Schizosaccharomyces pombe: one gene and its partners. The gene in region 1 interacts genetically with each later gene. Each region holds a gene or a part of one and is shown on either strand. Other genes may lie near its edges.

Evidence for each region.
Region 2: mutations in lsk1 (region 1) and ani1 together harm fitness less than expected from each alone (positive genetic interaction), as found in Schizosaccharomyces pombe (2 studies listed by BioGRID).
Region 3: of lsk1 (region 1) and htb1, changing one suppresses a phenotype caused by changing the other (phenotypic suppression), as found in Schizosaccharomyces pombe (one study listed by BioGRID).
Region 4: mutations in lsk1 (region 1) and alm1 are lethal when combined (synthetic lethality), as found in Schizosaccharomyces pombe (one study listed by BioGRID).

Annotation. Positions count from the first base shown.
Region 1 is NC_003424.3:3,952,089-3,957,397, forward strand, and holds lsk1 (P-TEFb-associated cyclin-dependent protein kinase Lsk1), read left to right. Parts: upstream 1-1,707; 5' UTR 1,708-2,382; coding exon 2,383-3,330; intron 3,331-3,376; coding exon 3,377-3,467; intron 3,468-3,482; exon of another isoform or gene 3,483-3,533; coding exon 3,534-4,212; exon of another isoform or gene 4,213-4,263; coding exon 4,264-4,327; 3' UTR 4,328-4,781; downstream 4,782-5,309. Other genes in the region: SPOM_SPAC2F3.16 (ubiquitin-protein ligase E3), read left to right, coding at 5,055-5,309. UniProt on the Schizosaccharomyces pombe protein: Catalytic subunit of the CTDK-I complex, which hyperphosphorylates the C-terminal heptapeptide repeat domain (CTD) of the largest RNA polymerase II subunit. Involved in RNA polymerase II transcriptional elongation and pre-mRNA 3'-end processing.
Region 2 is NC_003423.3:4,062,470-4,066,460, reverse strand, and holds ani1 (FKBP-type peptidyl-prolyl cis-trans isomerase), read right to left. Parts: upstream 1,942-3,991; 5' UTR 1,905-1,941; coding exon 819-1,904; 3' UTR 501-818; downstream 1-500. Other genes in the region: sporulation specific PIL domain protein Meu14, read right to left, coding at 1-44, 86-167; deoxycytidyl transferase Rev1, read left to right, coding at 2,303-3,991. UniProt on the Schizosaccharomyces pombe protein: PPIase that acts as a histone chaperone. Histone proline isomerase that increases the rate of cis-trans isomerization at prolines on the histone H3 N-terminal tail. Proline isomerization influences H3 methylation thereby regulating gene expression.
Region 3 is NC_003421.2:1,410,379-1,414,220, forward strand, and holds htb1 (histone H2B Htb1), read left to right. Parts: upstream 1-1,980; 5' UTR 1,981-2,105; coding exon 2,106-2,486; 3' UTR 2,487-3,258; downstream 3,259-3,842. Other genes in the region: hta1 (histone H2A alpha), read right to left, coding at 1,146-1,544; exocyst complex subunit Sec5, read right to left, coding at 3,259-3,842. UniProt on the Schizosaccharomyces pombe protein: Core component of nucleosome. Nucleosomes wrap and compact DNA into chromatin, limiting DNA accessibility to the cellular machineries which require DNA as a template.
Region 4 is NC_003424.3:3,190,946-3,198,661, reverse strand, and holds alm1 (nucleoporin Alm1), read left to right. Parts: upstream 1-1,894; 5' UTR 1,895-1,946; coding exon 1,947-7,130; 3' UTR 7,131-7,215; downstream 7,216-7,716. UniProt on the Schizosaccharomyces pombe protein: Maintains the proteasome and its anchor cut8 at the nucleus envelope and is required for kinetochore component proteostasis. Proper kinetochore stoichiometry ensures the correct attachment of kinetochores to spindle microtubules during cytokinesis.

The DNA of each region.
Region 1 (5,309 bases):
ATTATGCATATAGCATTTGAATAAATTAAATACTGAAAGCTAAAAGAGCTGCTATAGAGTACAAACTCAGATTCTTATATCGCACCTGTGATGAATAAATGTTTGAAGAAGCGATTTTTATTAACGAAAATATAACATAATAAAAGAGCTTATTTTTTTTGCTTTGCTTTAAGATATTAGAAGTACTCTACTTTTACCCCATATTAAATGTTGAATAAGAAGATATGGTTTTCGCATTTGAAAGCACAACGTCCATGTCTTTTCGATTAAGATTCATTAAGTATTATTGGTGAATATAATTGAGTGCAAGGGACTCTCTCGCTGAATTTACCATATGCAAATATATCATAAATCCACAGAAACCAGTATAGGATGTCCGTTGAATAAGGAAAATTTTATTTAAGTCTAACTCTGATAATACGTTTTGTATGTCAGTCAATTGAATATAAGTGCAAATTTTTATTTTTTTAATGACCTATTTATTGTAATAAAATCACGTTTCTTTGTTAAAATTGCACAAATTGAGTAAGCTATATAAATATTTAGAATTGAATATATACATATGAAAGCAAACATTTGGTCGTAGGATCCTTGTACACTTGAATTTCTATGATATTTTATTATTTCATATTAATTATGCTTACGTTTTGGAATTTTTATAAAAAATTATATCGTACTGGTAGTAGCCGTTTGTACGATCATCTACCTTTTTATTTTTTAATTTCATTAAACAAATTTAATTTATTTGTTTGCATTTTTGAAAAAAAAAACTTATAAAAAATCAATTATGCTCATTTAGCTTTTTGCAATGATTTTTTTTTTTTTTAAACATTTAGTTTAACTAATGAGACTATTATTTAAACAATATTGCACCAAATTTATGTCAAAATCATCACTCTTAAAATTGAATAAACAACAGGAACAGAATTCCATGAGTTATTCATCTTGAAGCTCTTGACCTAACCTTGTTCTTTCTAAAACCAAGCATTTTTGTTTAATTTTTAAAAAAATATTATTGATTAATTTAGCTTTGCAAACAATTTGCACACAATAGATTTTGAGAGGCTGAATATGAATTTTTAATGTTTTGAAGACTGGCGTTCTACTAGAACGTCCAATGTGATAACGTTATACTTATGAAAGGATGTAAAACTTCTATATACAGTAAAATAATATATTCCCTCCTACCTTACATGTAAGGGTTGCATATTATTGATTATTTTACTTTGTATTCTTTAGACTCACGGAAAACACTAATTTATGGTAGAATATTAATTTCTCATAAATAATATTATTTTAAACGATTCAAAACTAATAGAAAAGCTCAGACTTGCCTTTATCTAGTCGACATTTGATTCCTTTGGTTTACTATCGCCAATGGCAATTTCCAAGGATCCATGCGGATTACCAGATTTATCTTCATCGCTTTTTAAAATGTTAAATATGAACTTAATATAATTCAGATGAAAAGGTTTAATCCAATAATATTATATGAATTGAGAATAACTGGTTGGACTTAGTTAATAGTTAAAAGACCATCTTAGCAAATGGGGAAGAGAAAATGGCTAAGAGTTAAGCATTGAATAAATACATTATTTACTTTGATTTCTATAAAACAAGCTGATATTCATCATAGCCTCAAATTACTTATTATTTTAAGTATGGTGTGGTAAAGGAATTGAGTCGCGCGCGTTTATTTCTATTTCTACTACACACCAACAACGAAGTTTACCTATCGCCCCTTGATTAAACTAGTGGACTTGCAAACTACTTCATTCATTGTCATAGAAGAGGAAGAACTAATTTATTTCTGTCTTTATTAAATTTCGAGATAATTGGTGTTTTTAACAATGTACATTTTGAATTGATAGATCAAAGAAATCAGGAGTGCAACTAAAAGAAAATTACGGTATATTTTTTTAAGCTGCAAGAGTTGATACTTAAAAGTATTTCCTAATTTTGTGGATACTCATATTTTGTACATTTACGTTTCAATAACATTTCTGCAACCGACTTATTCACAAATCTCTGGTTAGATTTCTCTATTGATTGAAAAGGTTTGTCTCACGTTCACCCTTCATAGTTTAGCGGTGAAAAAAATCTCCACTCTGAAAATTGTCCTTTCTTCATTTATTAGATTGCATGATTTATTTCACTGGATTTAACTAGCTTGTCTTGGCAGCTTACCTTTTATTTCCCTTGTACGATTTTTTTCCGGTGAAGTTGTATTTATTGTTACATAAAAACACATTTGGCCGTACTTTAACGATTAATTTCTTTTCTTTTATTCCCATCGAATTTTCGCTCACAGATTGCGTGTAATTCTCTTCATTGTTTAGGAATATTCCTTTTTTTATTTTTTATTTTTTTTAACCCTGTTAAATGTCATACTCGAAGAGTACAATTTATCGCCGACAAGGCACAGAACCAAATAGCCACTTTCGGCGTACCGTCGAAGAAAAGTCTCAGCTTTCTGGTACAAATGAGGAGTCTTTAGGAGGCCACACCCTGTCCTCTAATGCTTTCAAAAATAATTCATCTAGTATATCGCCATCCTCATCTGCGAAGGATCCTCGAGAACAGCGGAAAAGAACATTTCCTCTCAACGATACACATTCTTCCCGAGCAAGACAGCATGAAAGACCTTTTCGTTCTCGAAAATCTAGAAGGAGAAAGGGTAAAAAGGCATTCAGTCCTAGACCTGGCTCACCTCCATCACCTTCCTTTTACCGCTCAGGTAGTCAAAAACGAGCACGTAATTTAACTACCAAGGATTACTTTGCCAAACGCTCTGAAAGCTCTTCTAGCGCCTCCGTCTCACCTATATCACCGTCCGCAAACAGAAATGATTCAAAAAGGCAAGCTTCTTCTTTTCGAAGGTCTCCGCCTAGTTCTGTACATATGAAGCCTTCAGCTTTTAACGGTCGAAAGGTATCGCGGAGACCTTCATCTTCTCCTCCCCCTATTCCTTCTATCCCTCATGAAACTACTTCCTCCGATACACAAAAAAAATCTAGCGTGTCTTCTGGCTTTCCAGAGAACAAACATGGAAAATTTCACTTTCATATACCTAATGAACGCCGATCTCGATTCGATCAACCTCCTTCGAAACGTATGGCACTCACGTCCACGGCCCGTGAGTCTGTTCCAGCTCCTCTTCCTTCTCCTCCTTCCGGCCCAATTTATACATATACATATCCAAAGCCTGCCTATGAGAAAATCGACCAAATTGGAGAAGGAACTTATGGTAAAGTATACAAAGCCATTAACACAGTCACAGGAGATTTGGTAGCTTTAAAACGGATAAGGCTGGAGCAGGAAAAGGATGGTGTAAGTATAAAAATCAAGCTCGTAACTAAATTGACTAACTTTCTAGTTCCCTATAACTACTGTCCGTGAAGTCAAAATCTTGCAGCGTTTGCGTCACAAAAATATTGTTCGGCTATTAGAAATTATGGTGGAAAAAAGTACGATTAAATACTGTCCTCATTCACCGTTTAATTATAACTAGTTCTAACATTTTAAAATTCTAGGTTCTGTATATATGGTATTTGAGTACATGGATCACGATTTAACTGGAGTCTTACTAAATTCACAATTACATTTTACTCCCGGTAACATAAAACACCTTTCGAAGCAAATTTTTGAAGCATTAGCTTATCTTCATCATCGTGGGGTGCTTCATCGTGACATTAAAGGTTCTAATATATTACTGAATAACAATGGTGATCTAAAATTCGCAGATTTTGGTCTGGCGAGATTTAATACATCTTCGAAGTCGGCTAACTACACTAATCGCGTTATTACCCTTTGGTTTCGACCTCCAGAGCTATTACTTGGAGAAACTGCATATGACACAGCCGTGGACATATGGAGTGCTGGCTGTATTGTTATGGAGTTGTTTACAGGAAAACCTTTTTTTCAAGGGCGAGACGAAATCAGTCAGTTAGAGGTTATCTATGATATGATGGGTACCCCTGATGTTCATTCTTGGCCTGAGGTGAAAAATCTTCCTTGGTATGAGCTTCTGAAGCCAGTAGAGGAAAAGAAGTCGCGTTTTGTTGAAACTTTTAAGGAGATTTTAAGTCCTGCCGCCATTGACCTATGCCAAAAACTCCTTGCCCTAAATCCCTTTTGTAGACCGTCAGCTCATGAGACCTTGATGCATGAGTATTTCACTTCTGAGAGCCCACCTCCAGAGCCAGCAGTCATGTAAGTATAAAATTTATCGTTGAATGATATTTATCTAACTTATGTGTTTAGTTTGAAAAACATGCAAGGAAGTTGGCATGAATGGGAAAGTAAAAAACGAAAATCTAAAAGATAAATGAGCCAGAAAATTTTGTCAAGGCGAAGCTATGCAAGCTGGACAAATGTTTAAAAAAAATAATCTTTATATTTCATTTAATTTCTTTGTCTCGCTTTACTGCGGTCTATCTTCTATATATTTTGTTAACACTAGGCAGAGTAACAAATTTGTCTGATGCTGGACAACTTTTTTTCATTTTTTGCTCTCTTTTTCTTCCGAAAAAGATGAAATAAGAACACTAATAGCTCATGATAATTAAATGTTCCACTGGTTTATTTGACTATTATAACTCTTTCACCTTTTAAGAACTTAGAAATCAAAGGCTTGAAGTCTTGAAATGAGCTTGGTACTGTGTACAAAAAAGATAAATTCAAAGGACTCGTATGAATTTATGATGTGGTTTTCTTTTAATCAGTCAACCGTAGTAATAATAATTTGTTTACATATACTTTTTAATAATGTTAAGGTGCAGATGTTCTCAAGAGCCTGCTCAAATATTTAGTAATGATGATTTAACAATTAAGAGAGCAAAAATTAAGTTACTATTTGAATGCGTAGCTTAAAATTGATCAAAGTATATCTACGGCTTTTACAATAGTGTGATGGCACGGATATCACATTCCGCATTGCACTGGACCACACTATAAGTCAACACTGAACTGATCGAGGAATAGGTAAGCATTCCCCTTCTCCTTTTGATCAAGAACCATCATTATAACAAAAAAAACAAACACAAAAAAAGTCGATGTCATTGTCGGAGTATCTTCGTGAATTCGCTGAGATTTTTGAGGAAGCTGCACAAGAATTAACCTCAATATTCGAACTACCTCCTGACCTGTTGAAAGATATTACTGAAGAGGATGTTGGGACTGATGACTCTTGTAATAAGAAATTCCTTGAAGTTCAAAAGCAAAAAGAAGATGAAGAAGATGAAGAAATATTGAAAGGAGTGGATTTAACGCAGCAAGATTCCGTACGTGAAAAAATCCACGAAATACAA
Region 2 (3,991 bases), on another chromosome or scaffold:
GTCATCTGCATGAGATAGTTCTTTTAACTTGCTGATCGAAAATTCTATGTCATTAACTTATTTATCACACCAATTTATATCTTACTATTTTTATTTAAACCCTTCACGAGACCGTTTTCTCTTAAAGAGCCTTTTCTCTGCATTTTCAAGTTGCTTGATTTGGGCATGTTGATTGTTTACGTTTCAGAAAAATATATGCCCGCCTTAAGATTTGCCTGTAAACAGAAGCACAATTTTCAAATAAACAATATAGAAAAAAGACAAATAATAAAAATAATTCTTTAAATTCTAAAACTGCTTGTTTTTTTTTAAGTTGATTATTACGATAATTAATTTTAAGAATTTCGTAAACAAACAGCTGTTTGTAGACTTATTTAGCGATAATCAGATAATGGCTCTTTTATTATCAATATGTTTTTTTTTACTTTTAATAGAGTTTTTCGGAATGTTCTCGTTTATATTTACTCAAACTCAAAATTCCATAATTTAAACATCCTTAACTAGTATCGATCAAGGAAGCGCTATTCTCTTTTCTCTTAATGCTCATACACATACAAACAGCTCTTTCTAAAAAATTGTATATTGATTATATCTCCTTTATCACCCAACAATCCAAATCATCCAAAAGTCCTATATCCAAAGTGTTTGTAACACTTAACTAAAAAAAAATTTCCTAACTCAAATACAAAATGATACCCTGATTTTTTTTGAAACCTAAGAAAAAGATAGGCGATAAAAAGAGTTAATAGAATACATAGTTTAATCCGCGATCTTCTTAAACACGGGAGTTAAAGTATGTTCATCTTCAACATGAAAATTTAGTGAACGCGAACAAGCTTGACTTCAAAAACTAAGGTAGAATTCTTGGGAATTCCTGGAATGCTCTGGTTGCCGTAAGCCATGGGAGCAGGAATTGTAATCTTACGCTCACCGCCTTCTTGCATTCCAGCAACGCCGACGTCCCACCCGCGAATAACCTCACCACGACCAAGGATAAAAGCAAAGGGTTTACCTTTAGTGTTTTTGTCAAAAACCTTTCCATTTTCGAGCTTCCCAATATATCTCATTTCAACTTTTTTCCCATTGGTAGCAGACGCACCGCTCCCAGTTTTAACATCAGTTACAACCACGCCTCCTTTTAAAGTACGAGTCTTGGGACTAGAAGGTGCATTAGAAGAAGCTTGTTGCTTTTCTTTCTTAGCAGCGGGACCAGTAGGTCCTTGTTCAAGTTTTTCGGCAAATGCAACCTTCTTTTCCTTAACAGGGGTACCCTCAACCTTTTGCTTCTTGGTATTGTTTTTCTTAGGAGAAGCAGCCTCTTCTTGCTCGGATTCATCCTTAGTACGTTTTTTTTTAACCTGTGCCTTTTTAGCAGGAGCTGAATCCAATTCATCCTCCTCAGATGCTGAATTATCTTCCGACTCAGATTCCTCTTCACTTTCCTCATCACCGCTGACAGTCTCGACAAGATCCTCCTCAGTAGGAGACAAATCGTAATCCTCGTCAGATTCTTCCTCTTCCTCATCTTCTTCGTCAACCAAAAAGTTACCAGACAAGTGGATGGTTGCATCGCCAGATGCACTGAAGAAGACTTCGTCGCCAGGAGTAATGGTCAAATTTAAAGGCTGTTGGTATAAGGAACCAGGCTTCAAAGTACATAAAACAAATTCACGCTGGCTTTCTTCCAGAAGCTCTTGCATTTGTTCGTCAAGTTCTTCGTCATCTTCATCTTCAACGGGGATACGGGGACGAACCTTCACCAATAAAGTAGTTGGTTTATTAGACTTTTCGCCGGCATCAATGGATGCCATAGTCAAATGAATAGATGCATCTGTAGATTCCTCCACAGCGGGAACATCTTTTCCCTTTACCGAAAGACTATAAACAGCAATTGGAAGAGACATGACTTATTCTTGCCTAAGAGGTGAGGTGGTAGAGGATGTAAAAAATTTTGATACATAAACCGTTGTGTATTCCATTAAGTAAGGGTAGTGCGTATTACCGCGATTTGCAAATTATACTCAAAATTAATTAAATTTGGACGAGCGTGCATCACAACAAACGCGTAGTAATTATTTTTGATATTTCGTTGTTTTTTACTTTGAAATAGTTTGGCTTCACGAGTTTTGGGATAAGGTTAAATAATGAAAGAAAAAAGCTCTTGCAGTTAGTTTTTCTTTATAAACATTGTTTGTTTATTAATTACACTTTTTCCGCTTAAGTGGCTACATTATTATTTGTATTATTTTCCTTTCAGAAACATATTAATACTTATATTTACTGAAAGTGAGAAGCGCGCTGGATGGCTTTTAATCAAAGGAAGCGTCGACGCCCAGTAGGGATTGCAGACTTTGACGAAGCAAACGATGAGGCATACGAAAGTGTTGGGTTCCACGACTATGCAGATTATTTTTCCCGGAAACAAAGAAAGCTTCAAAATCAAAATGCCGCTCTATACAAAAGTATTGATGAAGATTCTAAATCTGATCTCTTTCATGGACTTGCAATAGCGATTAATGGATATACAAAGCCGTCTTATACCGAATTACGGCAAATGATAGTTTCAAATGGAGGTACTTTTATACAATATGTTGATGGAAAAACAAGCATATCATATTTGGTGTGTTCATTTCTCACTCCTTCCAAAGCTCGCCAATGGAAGCATCAGAAAGTGGTTAAACCAGAATGGATAGTGGATTGCATCAAACAGAAGAAAATTCTTCCGTGGATAAATTATCGTACCTTTCAAGCTTCATCGGCTCAAGCTACCCTTTCTTTTGTCGCCTCTAAACCTAGCCAACCCGAAGGTAACTTAGAAGATATTCAAACAAGCTCGCAGGAAGAAGAACATGATAATGAAAAAGATAAAACAAAAGAGAGTAAAGCAAAGGGATTTTTAGATGATTTGAGTGGATTATCAGCGTCTTCACTGCACAACTATCAATTGTTAAAAAATCCCAATGTCCGAAATTCAACCACTCAAAATCAAGATTTTCTTGAGAATTTCTTTAGCTCCTCTCGTTTACATCACTTAAGTACTTGGAAAGCTGATTTTAAAAATGAAATCCAAGCAATGACTACTGCTTCTGAACCTGTTCGTCCAATTATGAAAGATAAATCAAAAAAATCTCGTTTCCTTCTTCATGTTGATTTTGATTGCTTTTTTGCTTCCGTTTCAACACGCTTTTCTCATGAGCTACGACTGAAGCCCGTTGCTGTTGCTCATGGTATAAAAAATTCCGAAATAGCTAGTTGTAATTATGAGGCTCGGAAGTTTGGCATAAAAAATGGTATGTACGTTGGAACAGCTAAAAACCTGTGTCCTTCATTACGGGTTGTTGATTATGATTTTGGAGCATACGAATCTGTTTCTAGAGAATTTTACACTATCCTTGTTAATACACTTCACGACTATATTAAGGTTATAAGTATAGACGAGGCTCTTCTAGATATAACTTCTAGTGTTTCATCTTTTCAAGATTGCTTTGAGATTGCCGAGTCTATCCGCTCGCAGGTTCGCGAGAAAACCAATTGCGAAGTTAGCGTTGGTATTGGCCCAAATGTTCTCTTAGCAAGACTTGCACTTAGGAAGGCGAAGCCTCACAACGTTTATTCTTTGTCAATAGAAAATGTTTTTGATGTATTGAGTCCTTTGTCTGTTCAAGATTTACCAGGGGTGGGCTCTTCACAAGCGCAGAAACTTTTTAATTTGTACGGTGTGCGTACTATTGGGCAGCTGCAAAGAATTGAAAAATTCAATCTTCAAGAGACTTTTGGGGTAAATTACGGTCTGCATTTATACAATATTTCCAGAGGAATTGATACCGATATAATCAATAATGAAACCCCACGGAGGTCCATATCCGTAGATGTTAATTGGGGTGTTCGTTTCGTTTTTCAAGAGGATGGGATAGATTTCTTAAAACGGTTGCTTCATGAGTTGCTTTCCAGAATGGGTAAATGCCAAGTGCTTTTGCATCAAATTCAGCTT
Region 3 (3,842 bases), on another chromosome or scaffold:
CTATTTATTGACTGATATTAGTATTATAATTTTCATACAACTATAAAAATACATTGGCAAAAAAGAAAAAATATTGAAAAATCCTAAATAGATACGATGAAATCGATTTCTAACAAAAATTAAAATTAAAATAAAAAACTAAGAAAAAAAAAAAAAATCAAACAGTTACATAAGAACCTAGCTATTTTTTTCCAAACTCCTTCCTATTTATTGTATTCTTTTCAAACATATAAAGAGACGTACAGCAATCACTATCCATAAATAACGATAAAAGCAGCATTATGGGTAAATGAATTTGTGAAATTCACCAACTTGCCAAAAATTGCTTACATATTCTCGTTAACTGGCTTTACCGGTTCCGGGTACAATTCATTAACCAATCGGTTGGACGTAATGACTAAATAGCCCATAAGAAATATAGACAGAAAAAAAGGGAAAATAAACGTGAAAATTACCAAATCTAAGCATTCTCAATTTATGAAATGCTTGGTCTTTTAGTTGGAATTGTGCTGTACTGGTGCGACCGAGCTTCGAAATCGGCGAAGGAAAAAACTCAAAAGAAGCAAACGTCTACCGTTTCACGAAAGAAGAGTAAAAAAACTGCATCGAAAAAAAATTCTGGAAATTCAAAAGCATTAATTGTAAAAAAAAATTAAGTACTATTCTTTTGCATGTACTGCTCGATTCAATGTTTAATGACACTCCTTTCATCAATCTGTTCATCTCCACTCTACAATCTATTTATTCATTTGATACATACTCTCATATAGGATTTTGAAAAATATACTCATTACTATACAATATTATAATTAAGGGAGAATAAAAAAGAAATAAAAAAAACCAAAGGAGCCAGTTCAAGTAGGAATTACTTGTGCAAAAGCCCTTCAAGTACTAGTAAAAGTAACTAGTAGAGAATGACTTGGCTGCATCTAAAACATCCTTAAAGTTCAGGCATAACGAAAACAATAACAGCAAAGAAAAAGAAAGACGCAAAAAGTTCAAAAGGAAAAAGAACCAAACATGGTTTAGAAGCGAGAAACAACCAAAAAAAGTATTGCGGGGTTGTAAAAAAAGAAAGGTCCTTTACAACTTTTCAATGTCTTTCCCTTCATCCTCTTTCAAAATGTTTTACTTGACGACTGACTTTACAGCTCCTGACTAGGCTTTCCAGTGCGACCAGAAGTTTTGGGCAAAAGATGGGCGTTGATGTTGGGAACAACACCACCTTGAGCAATGGTAACGTGACCAAGAAGTTTGTTCAACTCTTCATCGTTACGGATGGCGAGTTGAAGATGACGGGGAATGATACGAGTCTTCTTGTTGTCACGAGCAGCGTTTCCAGCCAATTCGAGAATTTCAGCAGCCAAATATTCCAAAACGGCGGCCAAGTAAACGGGAGCACCAGCACCAACACGTTGAGCATAGTTACCCTTACGTAACAAACGATGGACACGACCAACGGGGAAAGCCAAACCGGCCTTGGCAGAACGGGATTGAGCAGATTTGGCAACAGCAGCCTTACCACCAGATTTACCTCCAGACATGACGAAAAATACTGAAACTAAATAAAAAAAATAAAAGTTTGAGTTAAAAAAAAAAGATTTTTCCTTCTTTAATGAAAAAAGATAACAGTCAACGATGAAGCAGCGAATGGATCAAATTTGGTGAAATTAACAGAATTTTCTCGCAATTTCAGCCTTTACGGACAATCAATCTCCTTATCAACTAAGGATCAATTGTTTATATCAATTTCAATACGTGTATGGATCAAAAGGTATCCTAAACAACGAAAAGTCGCGATATAGGGAAAAGGAGACATAGGAGCGCGCACCCTTCATATATATACTAATTCTAATCTTCCGTATAAGCACGTCTAACGCGTTCTTGTAGATGACGTTTCCGCGTCGCATGGCTAAACACCAGGGTTAGGGTTGTGATGCCCAAGTTGTATATAACCATCGCGTCGCCTGCAGGCATGTTAGTTAATACCAACAACTTGATATTGCACGAAAGTTTAGGATTATCAAATTCCTACAATTGCAATTACTTAGTTCAGTCCATCAATTTTGAGATTCTCTCGACAACCAATTTTTAAATCGTAAAAAATGTCTGCTGCTGAAAAGAAACCCGCTTCCAAGGCTCCCGCCGGTAAGGCTCCTAGGGATACCATGAAGTCTGCTGATAAGAAGCGTGGTAAAAACAGAAAGGAAACTTATTCATCCTATATTTACAAGGTGTTGAAGCAAGTTCACCCTGATACTGGTATTTCCAACCAAGCCATGCGTATCTTGAACTCTTTCGTCAACGATATTTTTGAGCGTATTGCCACTGAGGCTTCCAAGCTTGCTGCTTACAACAAGAAGTCCACTATTTCTTCCCGTGAAATCCAGACTGCTGTTCGTTTGATTCTTCCCGGTGAGTTAGCCAAGCACGCCGTTACCGAAGGTACCAAATCCGTCACCAAGTATTCTTCTTCTGCTCAGTAAGCGAATCGCACGATTGTGCAATCGTCTTTTAGTCAGCTGATGAGTTTCCACAGCCTTCCATTTCGACAATGACAACCTCACGAAACAAAAGGGGGTAGGTTATTTGCTCTTTTGGAAATATATATTTTCCTCCTCCCTTTTTTAACGTTTTCGTTCCCTCCTCTTTTCCATTTCCGCCTTTTGTATCGCATTCCTATTTTATTCCCCGTACAATGACGACAACAACAACACAGGTGCAGCACATCACGCGATAGTTTTTTTTACATTACACATGGTTCTTCATTTCTATGACCGGTTCGTGGAGTTGAAAGGTGTTTTGTTTTGCACAAGTCGTACTGGATCAAATTGGGTTTTGTGTTCGATTCGACGGGGACGAGATGCTTTTTCTTCCCTTGGTTAATCTTCTTCCCTTGTGCATTTTATAGCTATCACCACTGGTTGGAGAGTTGAGTTTCTTTTTTTTCGACTGTTTGTTCCTTTCCGCCATGTATGGAAATAATTTGTGTCATTGGCACTCATACAGACACTTCTCACACTCCATTTCCCGTTCCACTCCTGGGCATCTTGGTTTATTAATGGATTTATTATTATTATTATTGTTTATGTTGGTGATTTAGATTGATGGTGAATGGAATATTATTATTCACATTCAAAATATCCCAAAGAATCCAGTGTGCGAAGTTGATGTGGTTTGGTATGTTTGCTATGCAAATGATTTTATATATGTTTGGAAAGATTGTAAAGTAATTCTACTATTAATAATAATATAATATTATGAAAAGATCATTTCAATAAACTGAAACTTGAGTCGTGTTTTCGTAGCTGTTTCCGTAGTCGGACTTATGGAGCTGGCTTCTGCCTTTCTTTGGATTTGTTGTAGCAAGTCGAGTATGGTAGGTGGAAGGCATTTATTTAAGAAATGCGAAATACTAGGAATGTCGTGGAAAAAGGCATATGGTGAGTGTAAAGCAAACTGAGCGAGCATACAAGACGTTGTGGCTATCATCCAATCTGCCGCTTCATTAGGAGGCATGGAGTCTTTTAATTCTAAGTATATGGTTTCTAGAGTGGAAAACAATTGGAAGGTCGGTGGTTGAATGCTCAACTTGGATATGGAAGAGGGTGTGGTATTGGAAAAACTGGTATCCCGTATGGCCAACAATTTATAAAGATCTTGCAAGTTTCGAAGAGATTTTGAAATTCTCGGATCGAGGGAGGGAGAAACCTCGTTAAGAGGAAATGTCTGTAAGAGAAACTTTTGGTAAGGTACCAAACGTGAACGCAAGTTTAACAGTCGAGTTACGAAGTGTAAAACATCAGAGCGGGTAATGGAGGTAGAGAAAACAGGTAGAGAGG
Region 4 (7,716 bases), 760 kb from region 1:
TAAACTTCCGCCAGTGCCGGTAGCATTAGTAGCTGTGTTGGTATTAGCACCGGCTCCTAAACCACCAAACAAACCTGTCCCTGCTGGTTTAGGAGCAGTGGTAGCAGTGGATCCAAAAGCTGGCTTGGGAGCATTATTAGCATTTTGCCCAAAAGAAAAACCTCCGCTGGCAGGAGTAGTGGTCGTGGAACCAAAACCGAATCCAGAAGGCTTAGTGGCTGCATTATTATTGGCACCAAAGGAAAAATTACTACTATTGTTACCACCAAAAGTAGATGTTGGAGCGGTGTTATTATTTGCCGTATTATTATTAGCGCCAAAACCAAACAAACCTGTACCCATGGTACCTGAATTGGGTTGGTTATTCGTGTTGCTTCCAAACCCCCCAGTAGAAGAACCAAATCCCGTACCCGTACCAGTGGCAGCACCACCAAATAAGCCACCCGTAGTTTGACCTGTTCCTGTATTGGTTGCGTTATTTGAACCAAAAAGACCCGTTCCTGTACCAGTATTGGTAGTGTTAGTGGTTGAGCCAAAACCTGAAAAAGCTGGTTTTTGTTGATTAAATGTAGAGCCACCAAAAAGACCGGTTGAAGGAGTTGAGGTGGTATTATTGTTTTGACCAAATAACCCACCGGATGCATTATTTGTTCCAGAACCAAACCCTGTATTGGTAGTGTTACTACCAAATGCAGATCCACCGCCAAAGAGACCGGAACCAGGAGTGGTATTAGTAGCATTCGATGTACCAAACGGTGTTGCATTATTTGTGGTACCTGACAAATTCTGACCAAACGGAGTAGTTGAAGCTCCAAATGCGGGTGTTGAACCAAATGCAGAAGTAGTGTTCGTACTAGAAGCATTGCCAAAACGTCGTCCTTGATTATAGTCTTGTAAACGCAACTCTTCAAATGAATAAGATCTATAAGCGGGCATACAAGTTATAGACTGGAAGACACTAGTACCGTTTGTTTGAGGGTCTTTTTCAGAAGTTACCGCATAAGGTGGGTTAGCTGTACCATTCACAGCGTTTGCATTGCTTGAGACAAATCCAGAGGTTCCGAAAGCGTTGGTCGTAGCGGGTGTAGTGGACGAACCAAACAAGCCACCACCAGTACCTTGCGAACCAAACCTGTATTTCCAGCAGTATTGCCAGCGTTATTTTGAGAACCAAACAAGCCACCACCGGTACCAGTATTCGATGCAGTGTTACCGAACCCTGTTGAACCAGCGTTCGATCCAAAAGAAAATGACGTTCCAGTATTTGCATTGTTGTTGGCGGTATTTGATCCAAAGAGGCCACCACCACTAGGATTTGTGGCGTTGTTCGTGCCTCCAAAAGCAGGAGTATTGGATTGGCCAAACATACCTGTCCCAGAGGACATTCCAAAACCTGTGCCACCAGTCGTGGTAGTGTTGTTTCTATTTCCAAATAGTCCACCGTTCGTATTTGATCCAAACAAGGGTTGAGTAGTGTTCTGCCCAAAGCCAGTTGTAGAAGTGTTTTGGGAACCAAACAAAGTGTTCCCTGGAGTATTGGAGTTGGAACCAAATAACCCACCAGTTTGTTGATTATTTTGACCGAAAGCACCGGTTCCTCCTCCAAATCCGGAAGAATTGTTTTGTCCAAACATCACTAGGATGATATTTGATTAAATAATTAGTAAAGTCACCAAAATTGGTGTTGTGTGGACGACAGGTCCGAATAGTGCACTGCTACTCAAGATACGTTCAAGGCGTGATAGAGAAGAATACAGAAATTTAGCTTTTTTTTTAATACTCACGGTAATTACAATTTTTAAATTTGCTTCATTTGTTTTTCTCAACGTAATTGTCGCATTTCTTCTAACGTGGTATTATTTCTGTACATCGAGGTTGATCACTTACTTCTCGTATACGTACACTGGTGCTTCATAAGTCATCGAACGTTGATTCCAGGCTAGAAAATGTCTTCGGGGGGACTTGAAGATGATATTCAGCTGGTACACGAGTTTTTGGATGTATCTTTTGAGGATATAAAACCCCTGGTGTCTGTCAATGGTTTCGCTGTATTTATATCTGCTATTAAAACCAAGGTTAAAGACATAAACGCTTTAAAGGATCAGCTTGTCCTTCAAGAAGTCAACCATGAGCATAAGGAGAATGTTCTTACGAAGAAGATTAACTTTCTTGAGCAACAACTTCAATCTTCTAATAATCAAGCAGAGGAATCACGTAATCTTATATCGGTATTGAGAAATGAGAACGAATCGCTGAAAACCAACTTGGAGAATCAAAATAAGCGCTTTGATGCATTGACTACTGAGAACCAGTCGCTTAGAAGGGCTAACTCTGAATTACAAGAGCAATCTAAGATTGCTTCTGAGCAGCTTTCAATCGCGAAAGATCAAATCGAAGCCCTACAAAATGAAAATTCACATTTAGGAGAGCAAGTCCAGAGTGCGCATCAAGCATTGTCTGATATTGAAGAAAGAAAGAAACAGCACATGTTTGCTAGCAGTAGCAGTCGTGTCAAGGAAGAGATACTCGTTCAGGAGAAAAGCGCTTTAGTCTCTGATTTGGCTAGTTTGCAATCAGATCATTCGAAAGTTTGCGAAAAATTAGAAGTTTCATCTCGTCAAGTTCAAGATTTGGAGAAAAAGCTTGCTGGGCTTGCCCAACAGAATACAGAGCTTAACGAAAAAATACAGCTTTTTGAGCAAAAGCGGAGCAATTATTCCTCCGATGGGAACATATCAAAAATCCTTGAAACCGACCCCACTTCAATCAAAGAACTTGAAGAAGAAGTGGAAACTCAGAAACGACTTACAGCTCTTTGGGAGTCTAAATCTTCAGAGTTGCAATCAGAGGTTGCTGCACTTCAAGAAAAGCTCACTTCGCAACAAAGTCTATACAATAATGTGACCGAAGAGTTAAATAATAACAAGCAACAGCTATTGATTTCGGAGAATAGTTTGCGGGAACTGCAAGAGAAATATGATAGTGTAGTTAGTGAACTACAAGTGGTTAAAGAAAATAAAAATACCTCTGTTTCAGCTGGTGTAGGTTTGTTTTCTCCTTTGGCGCAAAAGTTAAGCGCCGTTCAAAATCCCGAATTTTCATTTACGAAAGTATATTCGGACAATATGAAACTCCAACAGAAGGTTTCTAGCTTAAAGCTTCAGCTAGACCGCTTGACTAACAAATTCTCCTCATTTTGTGAACAAGTTAAACAAAGGATTCCAGTTGTCAAACAACAGAGGAGTGAAATCGTTAGGAATAACATTTATATGAATTTTCTTAGCGAATCTTTGGAAACATCTAACAACAACCTAACCAAAGTACAAGCAGAGCTTTTATCGACCAAAATGCGCCAAGAAGCTTGTTACTTGCAGCTCACCGCATCTCGTACTCAATGCAGTGATCTTTCTCGAGAAGTTATTTGTCTCATGGCCGAACTTGATCATTTGAATGAAACTAAATCAAGAAACGTTCCCGCTACTGTGCAAGTTGCGCTTGATGAATACGCTCAAAATCCCTCTACTGCATCTGAGACACTAGTAAACAAGGAGCTTGCTAATTTTTCATCTATAAAGGAAGCTGTTTCGAAAACTCTAGAACTGCGGGAAAAAGTGCGGGCCCTTGAATGCGATGTTGAAATCCAAAAGCAAACTGTCCAATATCAAATTTCCAATGCAGTTAAAGAAAATTCAAATACACTTTCAGAGCAAATCAAAAATTTGGAAAGTGAGTTAAATTCGTCAAAAATAAAAAATGAGTCCTTACTTAATGAACGAAATTTACTGAAAGAAATGTTAGCTACTTCTCGAAGCAGTATTTTGTCTCACAATTCTTCCGCGGGCAATATTGATGACAAAATGAAATCCATTGATGAATCTACAAGAGAACTTGAGAAAAATTACGAAGTTTATCGTAACGAAATGACAGCTATTCAGGAATCCTTGTCTAAGCGAAATCAGGATTTGTTGAGTGAGATGGAAGCAATACGTAAAGAGTTAGAAAATTCCAAATATCAGCAGCAGTTATCTACTGATAGATTAACTAATGCTAATAATGACGTTGAAGCCTTTAAAAAGGAAGCCAAGGAGCTTCGTAGTATTAATCAAAATTTACAGGATATAATTAGTCGACAGGATCAGAGAGCCAGTAAATTTGCCGAAGAATTATTACATGTTAACTCACTTGCTGAAAGATTAAAAGGTGAACTAAATGCTTCGAAGGGTGAAAAAGATTTACGGAAAAGGACGCAAGAGCGTTTAATATCTGAAAACGATAAACTTTTGGCTGAGCGCGAGAGACTAATGAGTCTTGTATCAGATCTTCAAACTTTTCTTAACCAGCAACAGCTATCTGATGCTGCTAGAAAAGTAAAATTTGAATCTGAGAAGGAAAGCTTAAGCCTTTCCTTGCAGAAGTTGAAGGAGTCAAATGAAAAGATGAGTAATGATCTTCATTCTCTACAGAAATCTTTGGAAAAGAGCGGAATTGAGTACTCCAGCAGGATTAAGACATTAATGCTCGAAAAACAATCGTTAAGTGAAGACAACAGGAAATTGTTAGATAATCAACAAATGATGGAAATAAAACTCCAAGAATTAAACGGCGTCATTGAACTTGAAAAACAAAGATTTTCTACTTTGGAAGCCAAGTTTACACAGCAAAAAAATACGTCCTATAGCGAAAGGGAAGCTTTGCTAGAATCATCGCTTAGTGACTTGCAATCTAAACATACTTCCTTAGAATCCCAATACAATTATTCTTTAAGGAATATTGAACAGTTACAGGCCGCAAGCAAACTCGCCGAAGAAATGGTTGAAAGAGTTAAAACTGAGTATGATGAGTATCGATTGCAAACTTCAGAGTCCTTGGAAAAAAATCATTTAAAAATCACTTCTCTTGAACAAAGGATAGTTATTCTACAAGATGAGATAGCTTCTTCTTCTTTACGCTGTGAGAATATTACTAAAGATAGCGAAACAAGAGTTGCCTTGCTTTTAGAGGAAAATAAGCATCTTAACAATGAGCTTTCGTCACACCGAAATGCTGAAAAGCAACATTTAGAGAAGGAGAATGATTATAAACAACAGTTGTTGTTGGTAACTGAAGATTTAAGAAAAACTCGTGAAGATTATGAAAAGGAACTTTTAAGACATGCCGATGCTAGATCGACTCTTCAAAAACTGCGCGAGGATTACACGAAGGCATTAGAACAGGTTGAAGATTTGAATAAAGAAATAGCCTTAAAGGCCGGTATAAACGAATCTCAGCCCTTTCCCATTAGTGAAAAAGAAGATCCTTTGAGACAGGAAGTTTATGTCCTCAAAAAGCAAAACGCAATGCTTTTAACCCAACTTCAATCTTCCAATCTCAACTTTGCAGAAATAACTAGCCCATCCCCGGATTTAGATTCTGTTATGAAATTAGGATTATCAGATTTACAGAATCATGTGAAGCGTATATCCAAAGAAATGGAGATTATTTCATGCCAACGACAATTATTATTCCTTGAAAATAAGAAACTCAAGCGAACCGTTGAATCATCGAATCGAGTTATCGCCGATCTGCAAAGAGGTATAACGGAAAAGGATGTTAGCAGTACTTCTGAATCCGTTGGGGAACGTTCAAATTATCTAAACATGGTTGCTTTATTAAATGAGAGCAACAAATCTCTCCGAGAAAATTTAGAAAGGAACGAGGAAGTTATCACAGAGTTAAGAGAGAAAATAGAAACTCTTAAAACTGATTTGGCGAATTTTAGACTTAATAAAGAACAACTAGAATCACAGCTTCAAACAGAGAAAGCAGCTGTAAAAAAGCTTGAAAACAGCAACGAAGAATACAAGCGTCATAACCAAGAAATATTACTATCTTTGAACAGTAGCACATCTACGTCTAGTGATGCTTCACGCTTAAAGAATGAACTTGTTTCCAAAGAAAACTTAATAGAGGAGTTAAATCAAGAAATTGGTCATTTGAAATCTGAATTGGAAACTGTTAAATCAAAAAGCGAAGATTTGGAAAATGAGAGAGCGCAAAACCAATCCAAGATTGAACAATTAGAGTTGAAGAATACAAAACTAGCAGCTGCTTGGCGAACTAAATATGAGCAGGTAGTTAACAAGAGCTTAGAAAAGCACAATCAAATACGTCAACAACTTTCGCAAAAGACTTCTGAATTAGAAGCCAAGGTTGCGGAATGTCATCAGCTCAATGAACAACTCAACAAACCTTCTGCAACCCCCACTGCTACTACACAGTCTGAACCAAGTACGGTGTCACTGGAAGAATTCAATAGCACTAAGGAAGAACTATCTTCTACACAGCGAAAGCTAAGTGAAATTATGGATATCTTAAATACTACGAAGGAGGAGCTTGAGAAGGTCAGACAAAATAGTAATAAATCTGAGGGAACCAGTAAGGATACTGAAATACCCAACGAAGAAGAAATGGAAAGGAAGAAAGTCATGCAACAGGAAGTTTTGAGGTTACGTTCGAGAATTGCAAAAGAGCTACAGAAAAACGAATTACTCAGGAAACAAAATCAGGTTTTACAAGATCAAGTGAAAGCTTTGCAAGAGACAGTTGTGTCATCCGAGGAAGCAGAGTCCGCTTCGGTACATGCTGATACTAAAGATTTGGAAAACTTAAAAAAGACAGAAGAGATGTTATCAGTTACATTTCAAGTAATCTTCAACGAGTCCATATCTGACTTTTCGACTTCCACTGCCGACTTTACTACTTTTGTGCAAAAGGAATGGGAAAAGCGCAGAGAAATTTTACAGAAGGATGTTGAGGAACAAGTTGCTCAGTCGCATCAAAAACAACTAGATAACATCCGAAAAGAACTCGAGATGCGTAACAAGTTGAAGTTGAGCATGCTGGAAAAGAACTTAGCTAGAGTGCGAGCAGAGTTGGAGCAATCGAAGAAAAAAGATAGCCCTGCAATTTTAAGTTTGGAAGCTTCTAAAAACACTGATTCCAATAAAAGCAATTCTGAAGTCCCAGCAGCTCAAGTTAAAGAGAAAAAGTTAATCGCCAAAACTCACTCTGTTGACACTAATTCTCCTCCTAAACGGTCCAGTTCAGACGCTGGTATGGATGTTTCCAATGATGTTAAGAAAGCCAAATAGTAAAATATGAATTTTTTGGTATAATGCCCTTTTTAATGTTTCTTAAGAGTTTGTAAACAGATAATAAAATAGGTTAGCTGCATAATTATTATTTCTGGTTTCCAATAAAAAAAACGACTTTAATTTTATTATAATAAAAAGCTTTGTATTGTAATTTAATATTTTGATATTTTTTGAAGAGCTATAGATATTTTGCGCAACTAATGTCCTTATTCAGATATGTAAGCTACGCAGTTTGGTATCTGATTTAAGGATACGTAGAACTGCGGTGAGTTTTCCTTGTGGTCTATTATATTACAATACACAGGTTGTATAAGTAGCAACTGAGTATAGGTATTGTATTAACTGGGTTATAATGTTACCTATCACTAATATAGCTCATAACTGAACTGAGGAACGAGGTTCAGTTGTAACGGTATTTATAATATTTCTAAATAGTTGTTATCAACGGGTAACTATGTATATAGACGGATAGTTACCCGTGATTATCAATAAACGGATCTTAGCTAGTATTCCAACATATGACATATAGTGATACGCAACGTAGTGTATCATAGCGTAGTGTAGTATTGCTGACAAGATAAAA